2 linked regions of the Mus musculus genome follow. Each later gene encodes a partner of the first gene's protein in a complex. Links are inferred from orthologs where the notes say so. Each region holds a gene or a part of one and is shown in the gene's direction. Other genes may lie near its edges.

Evidence for each region.
Region 2: Lsm6 (region 1) and Lsm7 share a complex: the UniProt entries of both Homo sapiens proteins name them as parts of the precatalytic spliceosome. The link is inferred for Mus musculus from reciprocal best matches to the Homo sapiens genes LSM6 and LSM7.

The regions. Positions count from the first base shown.
Region 1 is NC_000074.6:78,807,508-78,811,530, reverse strand, and holds part of Lsm6 (U6 snRNA-associated Sm-like protein LSm6), read left to right. Parts: intron 1-1,470; coding exon 1,471-1,584; intron 1,585-3,285; coding exon 3,286-3,320; 3' UTR 3,321-4,023. UniProt on the Homo sapiens protein: Plays a role in pre-mRNA splicing as component of the U4/U6-U5 tri-snRNP complex that is involved in spliceosome assembly, and as component of the precatalytic spliceosome (spliceosome B complex).
Region 2 is NC_000076.6:80,852,095-80,856,931, reverse strand, and holds Lsm7 (U6 snRNA-associated Sm-like protein LSm7), read left to right. Parts: upstream 1-1,722; 5' UTR 1,723-1,745; coding exon 1,746-1,751; intron 1,752-1,775; exon of another isoform or gene 1,776-1,871; coding exon of another isoform or gene 1,872-1,907; intron 1,908-2,220; coding exon of another isoform or gene 2,221-2,223; coding exon 2,224-2,314; intron 2,315-3,102; coding exon 3,103-3,174; intron 3,175-3,831; coding exon 3,832-3,974; 3' UTR 3,975-4,107; downstream 4,108-4,837. Other genes in the region: Sppl2b (signal peptide peptidase-like 2B), read right to left, coding at 1,544-1,591. UniProt on the Homo sapiens protein: Plays a role in pre-mRNA splicing as component of the U4/U6-U5 tri-snRNP complex that is involved in spliceosome assembly, and as component of the precatalytic spliceosome (spliceosome B complex).

The DNA.
Region 1 (4,023 bases):
TATACTCGTGTGCATGTACCTACACCCATACACACCATAACAAGTAAAATGAAATCTTTAAAAACATAGAGGGGGAAATCACTTTGTTTTTGTCTTAGTTTTTTGACGTAAATAGCCTGTTGCCAATATTTTGTGTATGTTTGGTTACTTGCTTTTGAGTCAGGGTCGTCCTATGATAGCCAGCTATCTTCAAGCCCTTTTTCTTTCTGCTTGTTCCCTCCCAGTCTCAACTCACAAACAGTGAATAATAGTGATGTTACATTTTGAATGACCCTGTTGTCTAATTCCATATCATGCAGTGCAAGTTTCCTACTCGTCTCTGAATATGCTTTCAGTGTAGCATAGCAGAGAAGAAGCAAACTGGGAGACTGTCTTAAGCTTTCTTTGGCTAGGAAGTTATTGTTCTTGATAGTTGACAGTCCAGTCTGATTCTTTGAAAGTTTATCCCTTCTCATAGAATTCTGTTCGGTTAATGTCTTGTGCTCAGATTACACACACAGAGATTTGAAAAGAAACCTCTGTCTAGAGGATAATGGGGGCAGAGCAGAGAGCCAGGAGCATATTAATGAAGTTAAGATCTTAAATGGGACTATTGACTTAGTTAATTGAATTGAATCTGTGGTGTGTTTTTATTCTCTTTTAAAATATCAGTTTTGCTTAGAGATGAGAATTAGAAGCTTACTAGCTTCATCTTTTGAAAAAAATCTTCTGGTCAGATTTTAGAAATTTATGCCATCTTAACACGAGTAAAAATCCACCCGAGCTGTTTTCCTTGAAAGCTCCCTGGCATGTTTGTAGCCGTTTTTCTCTATTAGTTTTGATTTTAAAAATAGTCCAACTCTGACAAAACAGAATGCAGTGTGTTGTAATGCAATATGTTGCTCTCTGTTCCCAAGCTGCTCCTCGCTGAGAGCCACAGCTCTGAGATGGTCTCTCAGGAGCACCTGCTGTCTATTATCTTAACAGATTGTGGAGACTTCCTCTTCACCCTGGGTCCATTCATCTGCTGCAGTAGATGTTGTGAAAGACTGAGACAAACTGCCAGATCCCTATTTCACCGAGCGAGCGAGTGGCTGAAGTAACAAATGTCACCTCGATGGAGGCTCATTTGTCCCTGCATAGTTGCCATGTCTGTCCCGGGCTCCCATAGAAGGGCATTTTGGTTGGAATATTCTAATGCTTATACTTTTGTGAAGGCTTTCAAAGTTGCTGTGGTGAGCACACGTCCCAGGAGGGAGTGACAGTTGGCTGCCTGTCTTGTGGTGGATGCACAGCTCCTCTCATGCTCTGCCCGCCCAGCCTTCATTCACAGGGGCACCGAGGAAAGGCAGGCGCCTTTTGTGTTTAAGTCTATTGAGTTTTGTTTACAGTGTGAATTTTTATATTATGTGTCTGAAGGCTAATGAATAAAGTGATTGTCAGTTCTAAGATATAGCCTGTAATTTTGAATTCTGTCTTACTTTTCTCCAGGGGTCCTGGCCTGCCTGGATGGCTACATGAATATAGCCCTGGAACAGACAGAGGAGTATGTAAATGGACAGCTGAAGAATAAGTACGGAGATGCGTTCATCCGAGGAAACAATGGTAAGAGCTTCCCTTCCATTGAGTGTTCAGAATAGGCCGTTCCTGCGTGTAATAGGGAGCTGCGGGGCGTCTAAGTGTTAAGGTTCTCTTTACTTTTGCTTGTTTGTTGTACTTATATTTTAGGTCTTTAGTATAAACCAGGTCTGTTTGTGAGTGGGAAGAGGATTTTCCATGGAGGTTGGAACTAGAAATTCTCTTTCTCAGTTGCTGAGGGGTATTGGTATACTAAGCAGGCCCATTAGACCAGGGACCCAGAGGGTGTGCGGCACACAACCACATACTGTACTCTCGCAGTGCTGTCTGGGAGTGGAAGCCATCCTGTGCCACAAAACGCCCTTGACATTTAGCCTGTCCTTTGTCCTTTTTCTGTTCAAGATTTAGGTGCCTTTTGTGGAGCTTTGTACCTTTCCGTGTGTCAGAAGTAGGACAGAAGGCGTGGCTCTCAAGTTCTCTTCTTAAAAGCCTTAAAAGTTAGGTCTCGTTAGGAATTAAATATCCTGACTTTTGTAGACATACCTTGCTTGCAGTTCAGTAGAATTTCTTCTATTTCATGTTATTCTTACTTGCCCTCCTCCTTTTGCTTGGAAATATTATGCTCTTAAGTAGCCCCCATAGCAGGAGCCATTCCTACACTGACATCCACCTAGCCTGTCTGGTTTCCCAGGCAGTGGCTTTCCTCCTATTCTGATGGCTCCTACACTTTACTGCCATCCTCAGTAACAGGTGTCATTATTCCTACTACTTGTAGTTGGGTCTTAAAGAGGATCCTAGTTCACTTGATTGAAGTCTGTGCTGGACTCTTTGAGGAAACATCTACTGTTCACTTTGAACAAGCTTGTTCGTATCTGAAGATGTGTGGGATGGGAGAGGGAGGGTACACCTTAGGTGACAGCCTGACCAGAGCCCCTTTTGTCCTATCTCTGTGCAGCACACATTCCACTGTGCTAAGAATGACTGGCGAAAATACATGTTGGATGACACCAAAGGTTTATACTAATCTCAGAATAAGGACTTTGCTTTCTTAAAAATGTTTTCTCATTTTTTTCCTCCTATGGAAATTATCAGAGTAAACCAATTTACAGAGTAAACTGGGGAGATAAACGAAAATAATGCCATTTCTTTCTTTTACATTTTTTTCATGTGTATGAGTGTTTGTCTGCATGTCTGTAAGTACATCATATGCGTGCCTGGTAGTTGAGGAGGCCACACAAGGTCACTGGACTCCCTGGAACTAGATTTACAGTTGGTTGTGAACTGCTTTGTAGGAATTGGGGACCCAGCCCTGTTGCTCCGTAACATCTGCAAGTTACATCTGCTCTTAAGTGATGGGCGTCGTCTCTCCAGACACATGTGCTAGTCATTCTGAATGTGACACCTAACCTAACAGATCTGGCTGATTCGCCCTTTTCAAAACTTGTGATATAGCTATTTACAAATCATTCTTACATTTTAGGCACTTTCACTTTTCTAATTCCCAGTCATAATTTGTAAAGTCAGTAACATGCATAGATAAGACTAGTTATAATCAGGTAAGATGTCCAAGCCCGGTCTAGACGCAAAGCTTGTTTTATAGAGACCTTCATTGCATGGTAGAAACAGTCTTTTAAAGTGTTCGAGGTGTAGGCCAGGACCCATGAATGCCTTTAAAACTGAACCGATGCTGTGCCCCTCGAGTGACTGCTCGTTCTCTTGTCTTTCCAGTGCTGTACATAAGTACACAGAAGAGGCGGATGTGAAGACACCAGGAGGCAGTGCTCTTCAGAGATGGATAGATGAAGTGGTTTTGGTTCTCTTACCATCTTAGTTGGCCTGTTTTCATGGTGGCTGGTGGGGGTTTGTTTGTTTGTTTGTTTAATTGACATTGGAATAAGATAGAGGTATTGCATTACAGATCGACTCTTAAGTTTTTCACATTTATGTCTCAGTCTTTATCATTTCTGCCTGTACAGAATGCTAAAACTAAAACAGTTTGTTTCTCCAGGATTATTTTACCTAAGATTCCTGCCCTGTCATTCCATTGGTTGATTACGTATTCAGCTGACTAAGTGGTACATCCCGGAACCTGTGATCAAGCATTCTGGAGGCATCCTTTGTCTCTTTCTCTACTCACCATCCGTACCATTTAAAGCAGGTAGATAGAAAGTCATATGGTTTCAGCCTTGGGCTATAAAGGGACAAGAGGTCAGAAAATCAGCTGTTTATTTAGTCACCTAGTTAGTGGTGGTATCTCCACAAAGGAGTGCAACTGTAGAGTCAGGAATTGGAAAGGTCAGCCACGTGAGGTGAGACACTGCCTGGAAGCCTCCTGTGCAGTTAGACTCTTCATGTTAACTTGCTCCCTGTTGAGAGTGTTGGTGCAATGGCTGGTTACGCCAGCCAGGGGAGGAGCTCTACTGTTCCTGAGAAACTGGCTGTGGCTGAGGTGGTGCAAGCCCAGAG
Region 2 (4,837 bases), on another chromosome or scaffold:
CAAGAGCAAGCACTCCCTTCTGCAGGAACACGACCCACATGCACACTGAAATCAGCTCATCCCAGGAAAACACCATCTCTTACACCTTGGGTCAGCACCTGATGCCCACGGCCCCTTTCCTTTCCCGTCCTCAGCAAACTCCTATTCATCCTTCAGAACCTGTCACTGTCACTGTCCCTGAAAGCCCTCCATCAGACTAGCAAAAAAAGAGACCCACAAAAAAAGACATGGACTGGCCCCAGGGCAGGTCCAGCCAGGAGAGATGGCATAGCCAGGGGAGTTCCTCCATCAAAAGAGAAAAGAAAAAAAAAAAGACAAGGAGAAACCAGAATAGCCTTGGTGGACGGCACCTGCACAAAGAGGGCAGTTTCCAGAGGACAGTGGCCTGCTAAATATGATGTAGAGCCCTGGCCCACTGGCCAGATGCAGCAAGCCCTGACACACTTTCAAAAGCTCATGCTCAGCCAAGAACAGGATGTGGGGATAAAAGCAGCCAAAGAGAGATGTTGGCCACATGGTGGAGAGCCCAGGAACCACATGTGTGAGGAATGCCTTAAAGCTTAGCCAATCAAGGAGGCACATGCCAGCCAGTTGTGGCAGCACCGGGGAGGCTGAGGCAGAGCTGCAAGCCCACCGCCAGCCTGGGCCATACAGGGAGACCCTGTCACAAAAGTCTGTAATCTCAAAAAGGAAAAGAAAAAGTATTTTTAAAAATGACCTGGGCTCTTGTTTCACAAGACAAGAGCGTACACAGTAGCAGGACGCACTGGCCACCCTTCAAACCGGCCCAAGACCCAAGGATGCAACACTCCAGGATCTGGGACTGAAGGCTGGAGCCACAAAGACAAAACAAGAAAGGACTCTACTAAGCCAGGAGTTGCGATGCGGCGCGTGAGATAACTAGGCCGGTGTTTTGCTTTGAGTTCCAGGTTAGCCAAGCCTCACCGGGTGCACAGGGACAGCCAGGGCAACATGGGAAGTCAGAGCCCAGCCTGGACTGCAGAGCGAGCTGGAGGCCAGCCTGAGCTGCGGAGCAAGTTGGAGGGCAGCCTGGACTGCAGAGTGAGTGTGAAGCCAACATGGGTTACATAGTGAGTTCAAGGCTAGCCTGGACTACGCCGAGTTCGAGACCAGCATGCCACCTCTCTCAGAAAGCAAAGCACACCAGAAGCCAGCCTCCTGCCAGGGCGCACCCCGCGCACACCTGAGGCGTCCCAGCAGAAGCTCGTCCCCAGCGTTCTGCACCGACCCTGAGGTGGGGACCCCCTTCCGCCCAAGGTCACAGAACAGAAGCCGGGGTGCCGGGCTGCATGCACCTCGGGGGCCGCGCTGGACGCCCCGGGGATGGAGCGCGGGAACTCGCCCCATTCTGCAAAAGGGGAAACTGAGGCTGGCAGGAACAGCGGCGGCGGCGGTTGGGGCCCCGGGGCGCAGGGCGGGCTAAGCCCCGCCAGAAGTCTGCGGTGGCAATGAGCGAGTGGACCGCAAGGTCAAGGGCACGGTCAGGAGTTGGGGGGCCGGGCCGATCGGCCGTGGCGCTCACCTGGGCCGCGAGTAGCAGCAAAGCTGCGGCCAGCCGCGCCGCGGCCATGTCCGCCGGTCCCCCCGCAGCTCTAGGCGGAAGGTTTCCTGGCAACGCCTTCGGGACGCCGCAACGTGCTTGCGCCGAGGCTGCGCGTGCGCAAAGGCCTCCGCGTTAGAAAAGGGCGGGGCGGCGCCTGCGCAGAGCGACGTGAGGCGACAAGATGGCGGTGAGCATGTCTAGATCGTGGAAAGCAGGGCCGCGGGATCGAGGGTCTGTGGAAGCGAGAGCAGAAAGACTGAAAGGAGAGTGACGGACGCCCTAGAGTAGGGAGACAGGGTGCTGAAGGATGGGAGCCACGTGGGACTGCAGACGGAAGCCATGGGTACAGACCAGGTGACATGAAAAACAGACGACCGACATGAGGATGCAGACGCGGAACGTGGGGGTTGCAGACCAGGCAGACAGGGGTGCGTACAGGAAACAGTGCAGATGGGGTATCCAGGGATGCAGATGAGGACGTGGGCATGCAGACAGAAATGCAGACTCGGGCATAGCATTCAATTAGGCAGACACTGGAGGTGAGGATGCACCCAGGGTTCTGGGAGCCTGAGTTGGAAAGGAGTCCCTGGGTGCCATGCCCAGGCTACAGGGATATGGGGAGGCTGGACCTCTCTCCTCAGCGCCCCACCTCCCAGCAGGACAAAGAGAAAAAGAAGAAAGAAAGCATCTTGGACCTCTCCAAGTACATCGATAAGACCATTCGGGTGAAGTTCCAGGGTGGCCGGGAAGGTGAGTGCCTACCGCAGGGCTCCCTGACACAGAGCTTGGCTGAGGTCACAGCAAGCAAGGGAAGCCACCTAGTACAGGCGTTCCAATAATGGCTTGGGCTATTGTGTACCATTGAAAGGTATGCCCCTATTGTGGGTGGGGAAACAGAGCCCCAGGAAAGGAGTCAAGTGAGATTAGCACCCAGACCAGTATGGATGGATCCTGAAGGAAGGGGCCAGGACCCACGAGGAGGTGGAAGGAGGTGATAGGAAGCCCTGTTCTTAAGCACCTGGACACAGCAGGAACCTGGAAGGTTTCCCAATGAAAGGATTGAAAGTTCCAGGCCAGTTTAAGTTATGTAGCAAGATCTGTCTCCAAGAATCAACCATGGGTGGGGCTGTATGTCTGTGGGTAGATTGCTGGTTTAGCATGCATAAAGCCCTGAGTTCTATTCCCAACCCCGTGTAAACCTGGCGTGGTTGTATAAGCCTGGCATTCCAACACTAGGGGTAAGACAGGAGGATCAGGCTGCCTAGTGAGTCTGAGACCAGCTTGGGCACATGAGACCCTGGGGGGGGGGGGGGAGACTGTTTCAGATTGCATGGATGGGTGACAATAAAGTTTTATGGACACTATATAGCACCTTCCATACTGGAAAGAAGAGGGTTGGAGTCACAGTGACTAGGCCACCACACTTACTTACTCATGAGTTCTGTGGTGGCAACTGTTCCTGAGCTGCCATACCAGGTTCTATATGTGTTACGGGGTGGACTGACATTCTTCTCCATGTCTCGCCCGTGTTCCTCAAGCCAGCGGTATCCTGAAGGGCTTTGACCCACTGCTCAACCTGGTGCTGGATGGGACCATGGAGTACATGAGAGGTGAGCCGGCCGAGGTTGTTGTAGGACGGTGCTGGGGACCTGTGGGGTCAGATTACAGCAGGTGGTGACTTAGGGTGCAGTGTTGGAACACCAGAGGACTGGTGTGCTTGCCGGGAGGGCCTCAGGCTTGAGACTTCCAGCTCACTCTCCTCAGGTAGCTGGCTTTATCCTCAGCCCTCAGGACAGCAGGAATGGTGGCCGCTGTCCTCGGCCAGGAATGTCTACCTGCATCAGAGACTCCAAGGCTCACTGGATCTCAGCTCTGTATAAGCAGGTCCACCCTGTAGTGCCCTGAGCAGACCCCTGCCCCCCACACCAGGTTTCCTGTCTCCAGCCCTCGTGACAGTTATGTCTGACTGCTTACCAGCTCCTCCTGTTGCCCACCCTCTCCAGTGCATCTGCTGCTCAGTAGATGCCCTTGGTGTTTACGGGGTCAGCATGGGCTCTAGCGTTCTTGAAGTTGGAGATGTCTGGCTCCTCCCTCAGCCACCTTCGTGGTTCTGTGGTTTAGACTCTGCTGGTCAGGTGTTTTGAGAGCATCTGGATCTGTCAGTCCCCAGAAGCTGTGAGTGAGAACTCTCAGGCCCCTGAGGTCCCGGCTGTGGCATGCCTATGGATAGATATGCACCTCAGTCCTCTTGCCTCTCATCCTACCAGACCCTGATGACCAGTACAAGCTGACGGAGGACACTCGGCAGCTGGGGCTTGTCGTATGTCGTGGCACCTCGGTGGTGCTCATCTGCCCACAGGACGGCATGGAGGCCATCCCCAACCCCTTCGTGCAGCAGCAGGACACTTAGCAGCAAAGGAGAGCGGTCCAGCCCCAGGGATCTTCCTTCTATGGGGTGAACTTCTGTGTGATGTTTTGGTCTTTTGTTCTTGTTTTGTTTTGTTTTGTTTTTTAATAAAATTGCCCATGTGAGCATCTCCCTCCCTTCCTGCTCTGTAACTTTGATCTTTGGAGAAGCCAGAGCCATGGAGACACCTTGATCAGACACCGTGGTCCAGGGCAGAGCACAGCACAGCCAGGGACTAGCACAGGGATGGGAGAAACCTGGACGCCTGGTCCCGCAGCCCAGCCGGCTTCACCTGGTGGGCTGTGGCAAGAAGACCACACCTAGAAACACCAGAACCTGGTCTTCCTCCATATGGCATCCCCTTAGCACTGGCCCCTGCCTGTTCTCTCTGCCCAGGGGAACCAGGAGGGCCTGAGAAAAGGATTGGCTAGCAGGGAGCCTGGGCCCTGAGGTTCCTCAGGCTGGGGTGCCTCCCTAAAGCGTCTGCCACAAGAGAAGCAGCCCAGGCAGGGGCTGGGGCGGGGCCAGGGCGGGACTCTGTGCTCCTGTGGAACAGCTGGGAATTAGGAAAAGACCTGTGTCCCTTGTAGTCTGGCCGTGCAACCTCTGGCACATGGAGCACGGGACCCCACGGCCACAACCCTCTGACAATCAGCCCATTTTTAAGTTGGGGAACCTAGCAGGGAGCATGATTCCCTGAAGTTGTGACCCAAGGCCAGAGTCAGGCTCCCTGCTCCTCAGTAGAGGCAAGATGTGCAGCTAGCCAGCTCTGCCTAGCACTCCCAGAAGCCAAGCCTCCCCTCAGCTCCCCTAAGTTAGCAAGGCTTGCCCATGACCCTTCTCAAAACGGCCACCTTCCCTGCAGG